Linked DNA regions of Rattus norvegicus. The protein of the gene in region 2 binds, or shares a complex with, the protein of the main gene of each other region. Links are inferred from orthologs where the notes say so. Each region holds a gene or a part of one and is shown on either strand. Other genes may lie near its edges. The genes, in order: Nrp1, Plxna2 and Sema6a.

Region 1 (3,652 bases), on a different chromosome or scaffold from region 2:
CCAACACATATGGTGACTTGTTTGTGCCTTCAGAACCTGGTGTGAAGAACATGTCACAACAACACACCCTACATCGGCAGCAGCAGGGAACATAGCTTTGCTGCCTATCCATGCTCTGAGATGACATCACAGCTGTTCCATTCCTTGAAGTCATTGTACAGAAAACTCTAGCTTCTAATGTGTTCCCCTAAGTCAAGAAAGGTTGGGTATAAAAAAGGACAAGTGGACTGGGGAGATAGCACAGTCAGTAAGGACTGAGTGTGATTCCTAGAAGCCAAGTAAAACTGCTGAGGATAGTATCATACACCTATAATCCTATCACTGGGGAGGCAGAGACAGGAGAACTCCTCAGTCTTGCTGGACTTAGCCTACATAATGGGTCCTAGACCTGAGAGAGACCCTGTCTCAAAATGTGAGGTGAATAGTATCTGAGGAATGATGGCTAAAGTGTCCTTTAGCTTCCACATGCTTGTGCATGGCATACCCAAGTACAGTCACACATACAAGCATGCATGCATACACAGAATCACAGTGGAAAGTAAAACGGACATAAGAAAGAAGTGAACTTATGAGCTGGGGCTATAGGTAAACCAATTGGTTGAGTTTCACCCAATATGCCCTGGAACCAGAGTTTCATTCTGTGGTACTGCATACATCAAGCAAAATGGGTATCCTGTCATCCCAGGAGGAGAAGCAGAAAGGTCAACATCAGCTACCTAGTTAGTTAGGACTCAGCCACAGTTGGAGCCTACATGAGGCCCCATCTCAGAAAAGAAAGAAAGTAGCCACATGCAATGCTGAAATGCTTTAGAAAACACAAGTTAATTCAGGGAGGGACACAGGCTTTCCCCAGCCAGAACACTGGTTTAGTCGGTGGTTAGGAGCTCCATTGCTGACCTGCAGCCTTTGGAAGATAGGGTATCACCCTCAAAGTCACATATCTAGAGGGAGGGAAGCTGGCAGCATGGCCGGGATTACTTCCTATCTGCAAGACCTTACTACACTGGTTGTAAAGTGAAAGAATGTCCCAGCCAATGAGCTGCAGTCTTCACCCATTGGGGAGCAGCTTTGGGTGGGTAGAATTAGAAAGTCCCAGAACAAAGGCCAAATGTGTTGGTGTGAGAAGTGTCACTGGGGTATGTGAAAACCTGGGGGCGGGTCCTCATTTTCATCCCAAATCCACTTAAGGCCACCCAAGCACATTCCTGGGACCCTTTCCAACTCGATGCGGTGTGCTCAGGAAGTACAAATAAACGAAGCCAACACTGAGTGAAACCTAGTGACCAAAGCATATCTTCTGGGTTTAAAACTTATACCACATTCTGTGAACGCTGGGATACAGTAATACTGAGATCGCCTTCTCTTTTCATTAGATTAGCAAGGAGTGACTGAGTCTTAAGAGGTTCCAAATTCATTAGAGTATTGCTAAGCATTATTTACAATAGCTAAAATTTGAAGAAAAAAAAAACCCTAGTATCCATTGGCAGTGAATGTATAATTAATTCGGCAGTGAATGTATACATTAATGTGGTTATTCACATGGCAGAACAGCATTCTTTTCTCAGAACGAATGAAATTGGGACCCACGATTCTTCACTCTTACACTATGCACAGAAACTGAAAGATTGGCTTAAAGGAGGCTCCAGGGTGGTTGGAGCCACAGGGCAGGAAGTGGAGTGGTGATGTACCAGGGACTCATGGGAGGGGAAGCTGAGAGGGATTACTGAATGTGCTCAGAGTCTCGGCTCCACCAGATGAACGATCTGGAGAAGAGTTGGACACAGATGTGAATTTATAAAGTCACTGTCTTGATGTATGCACGCAAAGGTTCAGATGGTAAATTCCATGCATGCTGTATCACAATTGAAGATGTATTTGTTTTGTTCTGTTTTGTTTTTTATCTTTTTGTTTGGAGACAAGGTCTCATTTTGTAACCCACCTGGGCCTAGAACTCACTATGTATCCAGGCTGATTGTTTTTGTCGTTTTTGTTTTAGCTCACAGAGATCCTCCATCTTCTGTCTCCTGACATACTTATCTCAACAAAGAAAAAATGTAAACCGTGTGGGGAGATGCAGTTCAGTGGGAGGGCAATTTTTTTTTTGTATCCACTTTCTTCAGTACCATGAACAAACAAACAAATGCTCTGGGGAGAATGTACTTGCTCTGCAGTGATGGGATCTGAGACTAGATCCTCCAGCACCCAAGTTAATGCCAGATTTGGCATGTTGAATCTGTAACCCTCATGCTAGAATGGTGGACACAGTAATCCCGGGAGCTTACTGAGAAGACAACATAGCCAAATCTGTGCTTCCCTGGGAAGCCTGACTTCTGCAAGGACATGAGAAGGGGCTTGGAAGATACATTAGCAGGTAAAGCATTTGCCATGGAAGCATGAGGACCTGGTTTGATCCCCAGAACCTATGCAAAAAGTTAATATAGTCGTGCACACTTGCAATCCTAGGCTTGGGAGGTAGAGATACAAGGATCAATGGGACTTACAGGCATAGATCTTGTTCCAGAAAACCAAGGTGGCTGGCTCCTGTGGGATCATATCCAAGGGTCACCTTTGGCCTCCACACTCATGTGTGTGGTGTTTTATGTTTGTGTGAGCAGATGTGTGTGCATGAACACACACACACACACACACACACACACACACACAAAACCAAACCACCATAAAAATACCAGGACAGGAGGATTTAACGTCTGCCCTGGGCTGGAGAAATGACTTCCTAGTGAGCCAGAGGGCAGGTAGTGTCTCCAGACAGTGGCTACTCCCTACCCCATGGCCTTACCTTAGCCTTGCGCTTGCTGTCATCCATGATCATTTTCCAGTCAGAACCATTGTTACTGTAGGCGATCTTGAACTTCCTCATGAACACTTTGTTTTCTCGGTGCTTCCCACCTTGAATGATGACACCTCTTACTATCTTCTCATCTCCCAGGTCCACTTGGAGCCATTCATTGATGTATGGGTGGGGTGAGGGTGGCAGGGCCCAGCCGGTTCGACTGGTCACCAGGCGGATGTTTTCTGGCATCCAGTTCCTGTCTCCTTGGTTGGATGCTGTAATCTGGGAGTCTGAAATAAGTCCAGACACCATGCCCAACATTCCAGAGCAAGGGTAATCTAGATGATGGGAGAAATAGATGGGCTGAGGTTATTTTCTCAGAGATGCCATGATTAGAAAGAAAACATAACCTTGTATCCATTTATATGATATCTCCAGTCTCTGTACCTTTACAATAGCAGAGTCTTCTCTTCTATAGGTCTCTACTGTCCTTAGACTCATATTCCCATTAAGAAAATCTTGATTCAGAGCATCACTGCCACCCCTCCCCGGATGCTTTTTAGTTCTCCCAAGTTTAATGTCAGTCTAAGGTTCCAGTCTCTTCTGTTCCTAGCAGTTGCTCCCACTTCAAGAAGTGTTGCCTACAAGGAATTTGTGGTTCACGACGGAACATGTGGCCAGAGATACTTAAGGAGATATACTCCCAAGCGAGAAATTGCTGAAGCAAAGTGAAGTTGGTAAGGAGGTGACAAAGGAAGAGCCTGGCTCAGCACGAAAAAAGAAAGAGGCGCAGAGAGCTCAGTGTCCACCTTATCTTACCTTCACCATCAACTGTCCTCAAGACCTATAGTTTTGTGTTTT
Region 2 (3,652 bases):
CCTGCTTGCCTGTGGAAGCCTCTACCAGGGTGTTTGCAAGCTCCTGCGGCTAGATGACCTCTTCATCCTGGTGGAGCCATCCCACAAGAAGGAGCACTACTTGTCCAGTGTCAATAAGACAGGAACCATGTATGGTGTGATTGTGCGCTCTGAGGGGGAAGATGGCAAGCTTTTTATCGGCACTGCTGTGGATGGCAAGCAGGATTACTTCCCTACCCTGTCCAGCCGCAAGCTGCCCCGTGACCCCGAGTCTTCGGCAATGCTGGACTATGAGCTCCACAGTGATTTTGTCTCTTCCCTCATCAAGATCCCCTCTGACACCCTAGCCCTGGTCTCCCACTTTGACATTTTCTACATCTATGGCTTTGCCAGTGGAGGGTTTGTCTACTTTCTCACTGTCCAGCCAGAGACCCCAGAGGGCATGGCCATCAATTCAGCTGGAGACCTCTTCTATACCTCGAGAATCGTGCGTCTCTGCAAGGATGACCCCAAGTTCCATTCCTATGTGTCCCTGCCCTTTGGCTGCACACGAGCTGGGGTGGAATACCGCCTTCTGCAGGCAGCTTACCTCGCAAAGCCAGGGGAAGCTCTAGCTCAGGCCTTCAACATCAGCAGTGAAGAAGATGTGCTGTTTGCCATCTTCTCCAAGGGGCAGAAGCAGTACCACCATCCCCCTGATGACTCTGCCCTATGTGCCTTCCCCATCCGGGCCATCAACTTGCAAATCAAGGAGCGGTTGCAGTCTTGCTACCATGGAGAGGGCAACTTGGAGCTCAACTGGCTGCTGGGAAAGGATGTACAGTGCACCAAGGCGGTAAGGAACTTCCCTGTGCTTTGTTCTCAATGTCTGTTCCTCTGAACCTTCAGCTTACGGGTTTGTAAGAGCCTGGGATAGGTAAGAAAGGGTTTCAGGCAACCAGGTGGTGACTACCAATTACAGAGTCTTCCCTACATCAGATTCTTGGGATAAGTTTGCTGATTCATTAAATCAAGACTAATGCGTGCCCTGTATGCTTACAGTGTACCAGGCACTGCATTTGGTACCTACTAGGCTACATGTCTAAGCTACGTGTTCTCAGAGAGCTTTCCTACTAGTGAGGCAAGACAAGTCAACACATAAAACAGCCTAGTTGGATGTGGTGGTACACACTTGTAATCTCAACACTTGGAAGAAATAAAGGCAGGAGGATTAGGTGTCCGAGGTCATCCCTTTGCTACATCGTGAGTTCAAGGCTAGCCTGACTACATGAGACTCTCTCAGACAAATAAAATGATACTGCCTGAAAAAAATGCTAAATTGACTTTAGAGGAAAATAAAGCAAAGTAGGGATCAGCAGTAGATAATGTCTGCCATTGAGAGAGTAGTACTTGGAGCAATGGCTAAAAGAGGGAAAGGAATTTCAGAGAGAGGCAGCAAGTGCTTAAGCATCAGATAGATAAACATCAAGGAATTCCCACAACTTGGTTCAAGCATATGAGAGAGGGTACCACAGCATACATGGTAAGAATTTAAGCTGTGACATCTAATCAATTAGATTAAAATCAGTTCTTCCACCTGTATCCTGTATGTCCTTGAGCAAGTCATGTGCTTTATTTGAGCTTTGAGTTTTTCATCATTAAAATAGAAATAATGTTACTTTTTTATTATGAGGATCATGATATCAATAATAGTTAAAATGCTTGGCACACATTAATCATTCAATAAGAGAGCAGCTGGGATTACCAATGCTAATCATATTAATGAAAGACTAGTTATTTGCCTGTTTTATCTTACTTTCATAAAACGGGGGAGTCCGAATTTAGGTATCTCCAGCTTGCTTTATAGCACTATAGTTGTGTAAACAAGGACCCTCTTCAAGCAAAGAAGTAGAGAGGAAATGTAAGGGTTAACTCCTTGCAGCATCCACCCTGGTTCCCATGGCCCAGAGCAGGCCTTGTCAAGAGGAAACTGCTGATTCCTGCTTGCTTTTCTGCCAAAGTTAAAAGGAAGAGGACACTGTGCTCTGCTCCAGTGGTGGTGGAGAGGGGCAAGTCCTGGCTAGTCCTCATGGGACGTCAGAAATACTGGGTAATGACTAGAAGGATGAATGCTTTATAGCAGCTCTCAACCTTCCTAATGCTGTAACCCTTTAATACAATCCTCATTTCATAGTGACCCCCAACCATAAAATTATTTTGTTGCTCCTTCATAACTGTAATCTTGCTACTGTTCTAACTTGTAAGTATCTGACATGCAGGGTATCTGATTTGTGACCCCAAAGGGGTTATGACCCACATGTTGAGAACCACTCTGCCTTATAAGAAACAACTTTTTCTCCTGTCATCCCCTGGGACAATACCATTTCAAGCACCAAAGTAGTAAGATGTGCAAGATGTTGGTCTCCCTGGATGCCTATAGTAAAAGGACCCCAGAGGTAGGAACTAGAAATGCTTTAGTGACCTTTGAGAAATTTAAAAATCAATGAGAAGTCATGGCCCCAAACTTGACTTTAACATAGTTTGGGGACTAACATGTACTTCTCGGGTCTAAGGTTTGTGTATTGCTTCCACAAAAAAGCACGAGGATGGGACCCATCACCCCAAGGGTATCAGTTACCTGTGAAGGGCTGTTTTGAGCAGTTGATTACCTCACCAGATTATCACAAATAAATCACTAATTATTATACCTTTTGTAGATAGAAAATCAAAGGCTCAGTAGGTAAATAAACTTCTCAGATCCATATGACTGAACTAGAAATCAGGGTCTGATAAAGGGCATCCCACAGACTCCTGATGCTGACTGTGGGGGGTCACTGTCTCTGATAAGAGTGGTACTTCAGTCACTCACTGTTGACACAAATAGAAAGGGGCATCAGGCATTAGGAATACCTGACAAGATAGTGAGGAAGAAATTGCCATCCAACCAAGGGCTCATGCTCAGAACAGACCGTTTTCTTTACAATTCTGGAGACTCTAACATCAGGGAAAATGCAGAGAAACCCACAGTTGACAGCAAGAGCTTTTCACTTCTGCCATTGTGACTCAAAAACTGGCTTAGGTTACAACTCTATAGATCTCCCAGAGAGATCTGGAAAAGTAGTGAAAAACACTGAAACCATGGAAGCAAACTATAAAGAATTTTGACAAAGACCTGACTTAATTCTTATTTTATAGATAAGACAAACAAACAAACAAAAAAACCCTAAGACCCAGGAGGGCATGCAATAATTAAGATATGCTGCCAATATGGTTAAGGACAGTGCTAAAATTTAGATTACCAAACTCTTATTGAACAGCCACTGCTCACAGAACAAGGGTGAGAAAGAGACAGCCAGGGTAGAGGGCAGTGGCTAGTAGCTGCCTGCTTGGCACTGCCCAGTAGCATGCTGGAAAATAATAAGCATCTGACTCCATATAACAGGGGAAGAGGGAGAGCTCTGGTCTATAGCACTTGGCAGTTCCCGTGGTATAAACACTGCCAGGGAGGATGACTTCAAACAGGAGTGATAACAATGACTGTAGATGCACACATAGACATCTCTCATGAGCTGGTATTAGCATACCATGGTTTCTCCCCTTCCAAGTTGCAGTGTGGAATCTCTGCCATCAGAGTTCATAGCCATTCTTACTCTAATTCTTCGTGTTCTCTCCTATGAGTGCTGATGCCTGTGTT
Region 3 (3,559 bases), on a different chromosome or scaffold from region 2:
TCGTGTTGATACTGAAGTCTTTTGTGAGTCCGACCTGCTGTATGACATGGCGGCGTGTGAAGGAAGAGAACGGAGGTTACTTGCTAAACCTTCACCAAACCACATGGCCCGATATTTTAGAGTATCCCTGTGTCCCAAGGAGGAGGACCCAGCGTCCTCAGCTCCTCCAGGGCCATCTTGGTGGATACCGAGGCAGTGGAGACCTTGCTCAGCTGCGTGGGTGCCTCGCCTCATCTGATGCTTCAACTCCTGGGCCCCAACCCCTGGGATTATGTACACGCATCATTGGGCTTCATGGATGTGGAAAGGGGGGCAAAGGAAGGTTTGGGGGGTACATCTGGCTTTAGCGAGGGGGTGCGCTTCAGCCCCGACCTCGTCAGTGAGTTGTAGGCATTGAGGCTGGGCTGCCTCGAAACAGTCACGGCCTGGCCAGAGGGCTGGGGGCTGTGCACCTGGATAGAGTCCACCCTCTGCGGGGCGGGAGGTGGGTTGTCTCCCCGGCCAAGGCTCTGGTTCCTGGAGAGGTGGGAGGAATTGGAGGAGTTAGTATTGTTTCTTTTGAGAGTGGTGGCCTGATGGCTTCTTGTGAGCGAGTTCGTGGGGTAGCTCCTCTTATATTCAAGCCCGTAGGAGGAGGAGTGTTGCATTTCCAGCCGCTTGCTCAGGCCGGTCTGGGACAGTGAGGCTCCCGTGGGACCCAGAGAGGCCTCACGCTGTGGAACTTTGGGGGGCAGGCTGTCCAGGTTCTCCACAAGGTTCACCCCATGGTTGGGACTCTTGCTGCTCAGGTGCTCTTTGATGGTCTTATACTCCAGGGTGGCAGCCTGGTCCTCCAGTGCCATCTGAGCCACCACCTCGCTCATTTTGGGCTGATCTACGTATTCGTGCTGGTAGCCCTGCTGTGTGATGGGCAGGACCACCACGCTGGGGATGTGGCTTGGGGAGGCCCGGAGAGGCAGGTCCGTGGGAATCACAGGGGAGCCCATGGGAGGCATGTCCTTGGTGCAGGCATTGATGAGGTTCTGGTTCCTCTCCCACTCGCGACTGCCCCGGTTGGGTTTCCGCTTCTGCTGCAGTGTTGGGGTGGACTCCGGGGTGGGCAGGGCGGTGAGGTCTAAGTGATGCTGGTCAGCCTTGATGAGCATCTTGGCGGTGTTGCTAGGCGTGGCCAGTTTGCCATTGTGCATGAGTGGTGTGAGGATGGCCTCAGGCTTTGGGTCCTTGGACTGACTGTCCCCAAAGAGGCCACTGAGCTTGGTGACACTGCTCATAGATCCCCGACGCGAGTGGGTGAGCTCTTTCTCCTTGCGTTGCACTACCGCCACGTCTTTGCGCCGGTGATCACACACACAATACACGATGATGCCGGAGAAGACTGCCCCCATGACAAAAGCCAGAATGACTGCAATGGCCAAAAGGGTGACAGGAACGAGCTGGTCGTTGCTTTTGAGGTAACTTTCCCGAATCACTCCTGTAATAGACATCGCACATGGCATTAAGAAACATAAAACACCCTGGGAGGCAATCACACTGTTAATTAATAACCGTAATAAGTGTCGATAGCACCTCTGCTTAGCTCATCTTCTGGGCGCAGCTTGCCAAACATTAACTAATTAATCCTCCCTGCCCCCACCCCACCCCAGCCAGCCCTGGCATGTGTATGTAAATCGATTTTATTTGTTGCCTTCTTTTGTGGCTTTTCTTCTGGCTGGCAGGGTCAAAATGTATTTATCTGTCTTCTCCTTTTGCTCTTTTCCCACTTCCTGTAGAATTAGAATAAATGAGCAATTTGGGCCTGGTGGAAGGAGCAACAATTTTATGCGTGTTAAACGAACAAATCACACAACAATCCAAGCTTTCCACTCAGTCTTTTCTTGATGACTGCCTTCTGACAAGAGGGCCTCTGTCTGGAGAAAGGCATGTTTGTTTTTGAATCTACAAGAGGATAGAGGGGTTTATGTCACCACAATGAAAAATAGCTGAAGCTCACAGGTTACAATATTTACATTTACTTTGCATGAAAATAAAGGAACCTCCCCCACTCAATTTCAGGTAAATACCCTGCAGACCTGAAAGACTATTTAAATCAGGGCCCCTGCTATGGGCTTGTAATGTGTCAGGTCCCATTATTACTCTTAGGGCTTGCTGTCACCATGAGAGTCTTCAGCAGAGCTGATCTCTTCGATTTAATAAAAATTTCGTGGCTACCCCTGTCTATTACCTTCCACTACATTAACCAAGAAGCCTCGATTCCGAAGGGAAAAAAAGACGCTGCCTTTTCTCTGCTACTTAATCAGTCACCAAGCTGAGTTCCTCTAATCAAGTGCAAAGGCTGGGGCTTTTATTTTTTAATACCAAGCGAGAACAGACATCACAACCCTCAGATCCTAAAGTGCTTGATGCTGGTAGCTAAAAAAAAACAAAGTCTCAAATACTTGCATCCCTGCCTGTGGAGAGGAGGGAACACGAATACATTAGAGGCACCGCACCAGGGAGTGCAAACATTGTTCCTATTCTGGAAAGATGGCAAGACAGAAAATGTACCTTGTCTGGTCTCCAGAGACACATTTTTCACCTGCTAAGTCAACCCTTTCTGGAATATGTTTAGTGTGCTTTTACTGACAACTGCGAGGGGCACCGAATTAGAATGAGATGACATAAGGACAAATCCCTGTCCACTCCTAAACTTCTGCCATTCCACCCTGAAACTTTCATTGGTTGTTGCTGTTACATTTTAAATGTCACAACCTAGACCTAGAAGAAACATAGCTCTGTCATGGGGGCGTTTCTGACTAAATATTTTGATTATTAAAGTGATAGTTTCGAAACCCAGAGGACCTAGCTGGAAGACCACACTCTTCTCTCTCAAGGACCCTTTTATAGTGTGACATCATCACATGTGTCTGTTGGGGAGGTGGGGGCAACCTTCCTGTGACAATGAACTGTGACTTCCAGTGGGAGTAGACAGAAGCAAACACCTTCTAAATGCAAGATTTTATGATTAAACAAATACCCTTGGTAATTGGGGGGGGGGGGAGGAACCCCCATGAAACACAGTGGAAACGGTAAGCTATTGAGCAATTTCTCATGTGACACTTTTCAAAGATTTCCAGACATATCTTCATGAGCTTTTTAAGGGATAAAAACCAAAGAGAAGAAGCAAAACAAAAAACCCAACAGGGAAATATGGTTCTAACTCACACATTATATGTGTGGTACTCTTAGACAGTGGGGTGGCTTGCATTCAAATATGTTTTAATACCTATGCCTGAAAGAAAATGTGCTAATGAAAATTTCTTCCCAAAAATTACATTTCCTTTTTGTTGGATTAAAATAGCAACTTATTTTCCTTCAGTTCTGATTGTGTATGAAATTCTATTGCACACGTTCCCAACTCCCTACACACAATTGAATGAACCAATGCATACACCTGTGACTACAATGGTTTCATTTTTCTCATTAACCTGGTGAGTTCTGCGTTTCTAACCATGGCAAGACTCTCATCTGTATAGGGTAGTGGGTGGGAGTTCTTACCATAACAGACATTTCACAGTATGGC

The links.
Region 1: the proteins of Plxna2 (region 2) and Nrp1 are in contact, whole or in part, in a crystal structure (PDB 4GZA), measured with the Mus musculus proteins. The link is inferred for Rattus norvegicus from reciprocal best matches to the Homo sapiens genes PLXNA2 and NRP1. Residues at the interface, in NP_032908.2 of Mus musculus: Asp273, Leu274, Phe275, Glu306, Lys341, Gly342, Gln343, Lys344, Gln345, His348, Pro350; in NP_032763.2 of Mus musculus: Glu78, Arg80, Asp81, Lys83, Tyr84, Asp126, Tyr127, Glu128, Thr129.
Region 3: the proteins of Plxna2 (region 2) and Sema6a are in contact, whole or in part, in a crystal structure (PDB 3AL8), measured with the Mus musculus proteins. The link is inferred for Rattus norvegicus from reciprocal best matches to the Homo sapiens genes PLXNA2 and SEMA6A. Residues at the interface, in NP_032908.2 of Mus musculus: Ala93, Cys94, Tyr95, Pro96, Lys155, Gln192, Asp193, Tyr194, Asp220, Phe221, Val222, Pro229, Ser230, Asp231, Leu386, Lys389, Val391, Thr394, Lys395, Ala396, Pro397, Val398, Leu407, Asp408, Ile409, Asn410, Gln411; in NP_061214.2 of Mus musculus: Arg108, Met109, Lys110, Gly111, Met162, Ala163, Thr188, Phe190, Leu191, Ile193, Tyr198, Thr206, Arg208, His212, Asp213, Ser214, Glu219, Gln266, Arg267, Glu270, Lys271, Lys393.

What each region holds. Positions count from the first base shown.
Region 1 is NC_086037.1:73,374,981-73,378,632, reverse strand, and holds part of Nrp1 (neuropilin-1 precursor), read right to left. Parts: intron 3,130-3,652; coding exon 2,798-3,129; intron 1-2,797. UniProt on the Homo sapiens protein: Cell-surface receptor involved in the development of the cardiovascular system, in angiogenesis, in the formation of certain neuronal circuits and in organogenesis outside the nervous system. Mediates the chemorepulsant activity of semaphorins.
Region 2 is NC_086031.1:108,715,469-108,719,120, forward strand, and holds part of Plxna2 (plexin-A2), read left to right. Parts: coding exon 1-814; intron 815-3,652. UniProt on the Homo sapiens protein: Coreceptor for SEMA3A and SEMA6A. Necessary for signaling by SEMA6A and class 3 semaphorins and subsequent remodeling of the cytoskeleton. Plays a role in axon guidance, invasive growth and cell migration.
Region 3 is NC_086036.1:42,239,989-42,243,547, forward strand, and holds part of Sema6a (semaphorin-6A isoform 1 precursor), read right to left. Parts: intron 1,472-3,559; coding exon 270-1,471; 3' UTR 1-269. UniProt on the Homo sapiens protein: Cell surface receptor for PLXNA2 that plays an important role in cell-cell signaling. Required for normal granule cell migration in the developing cerebellum.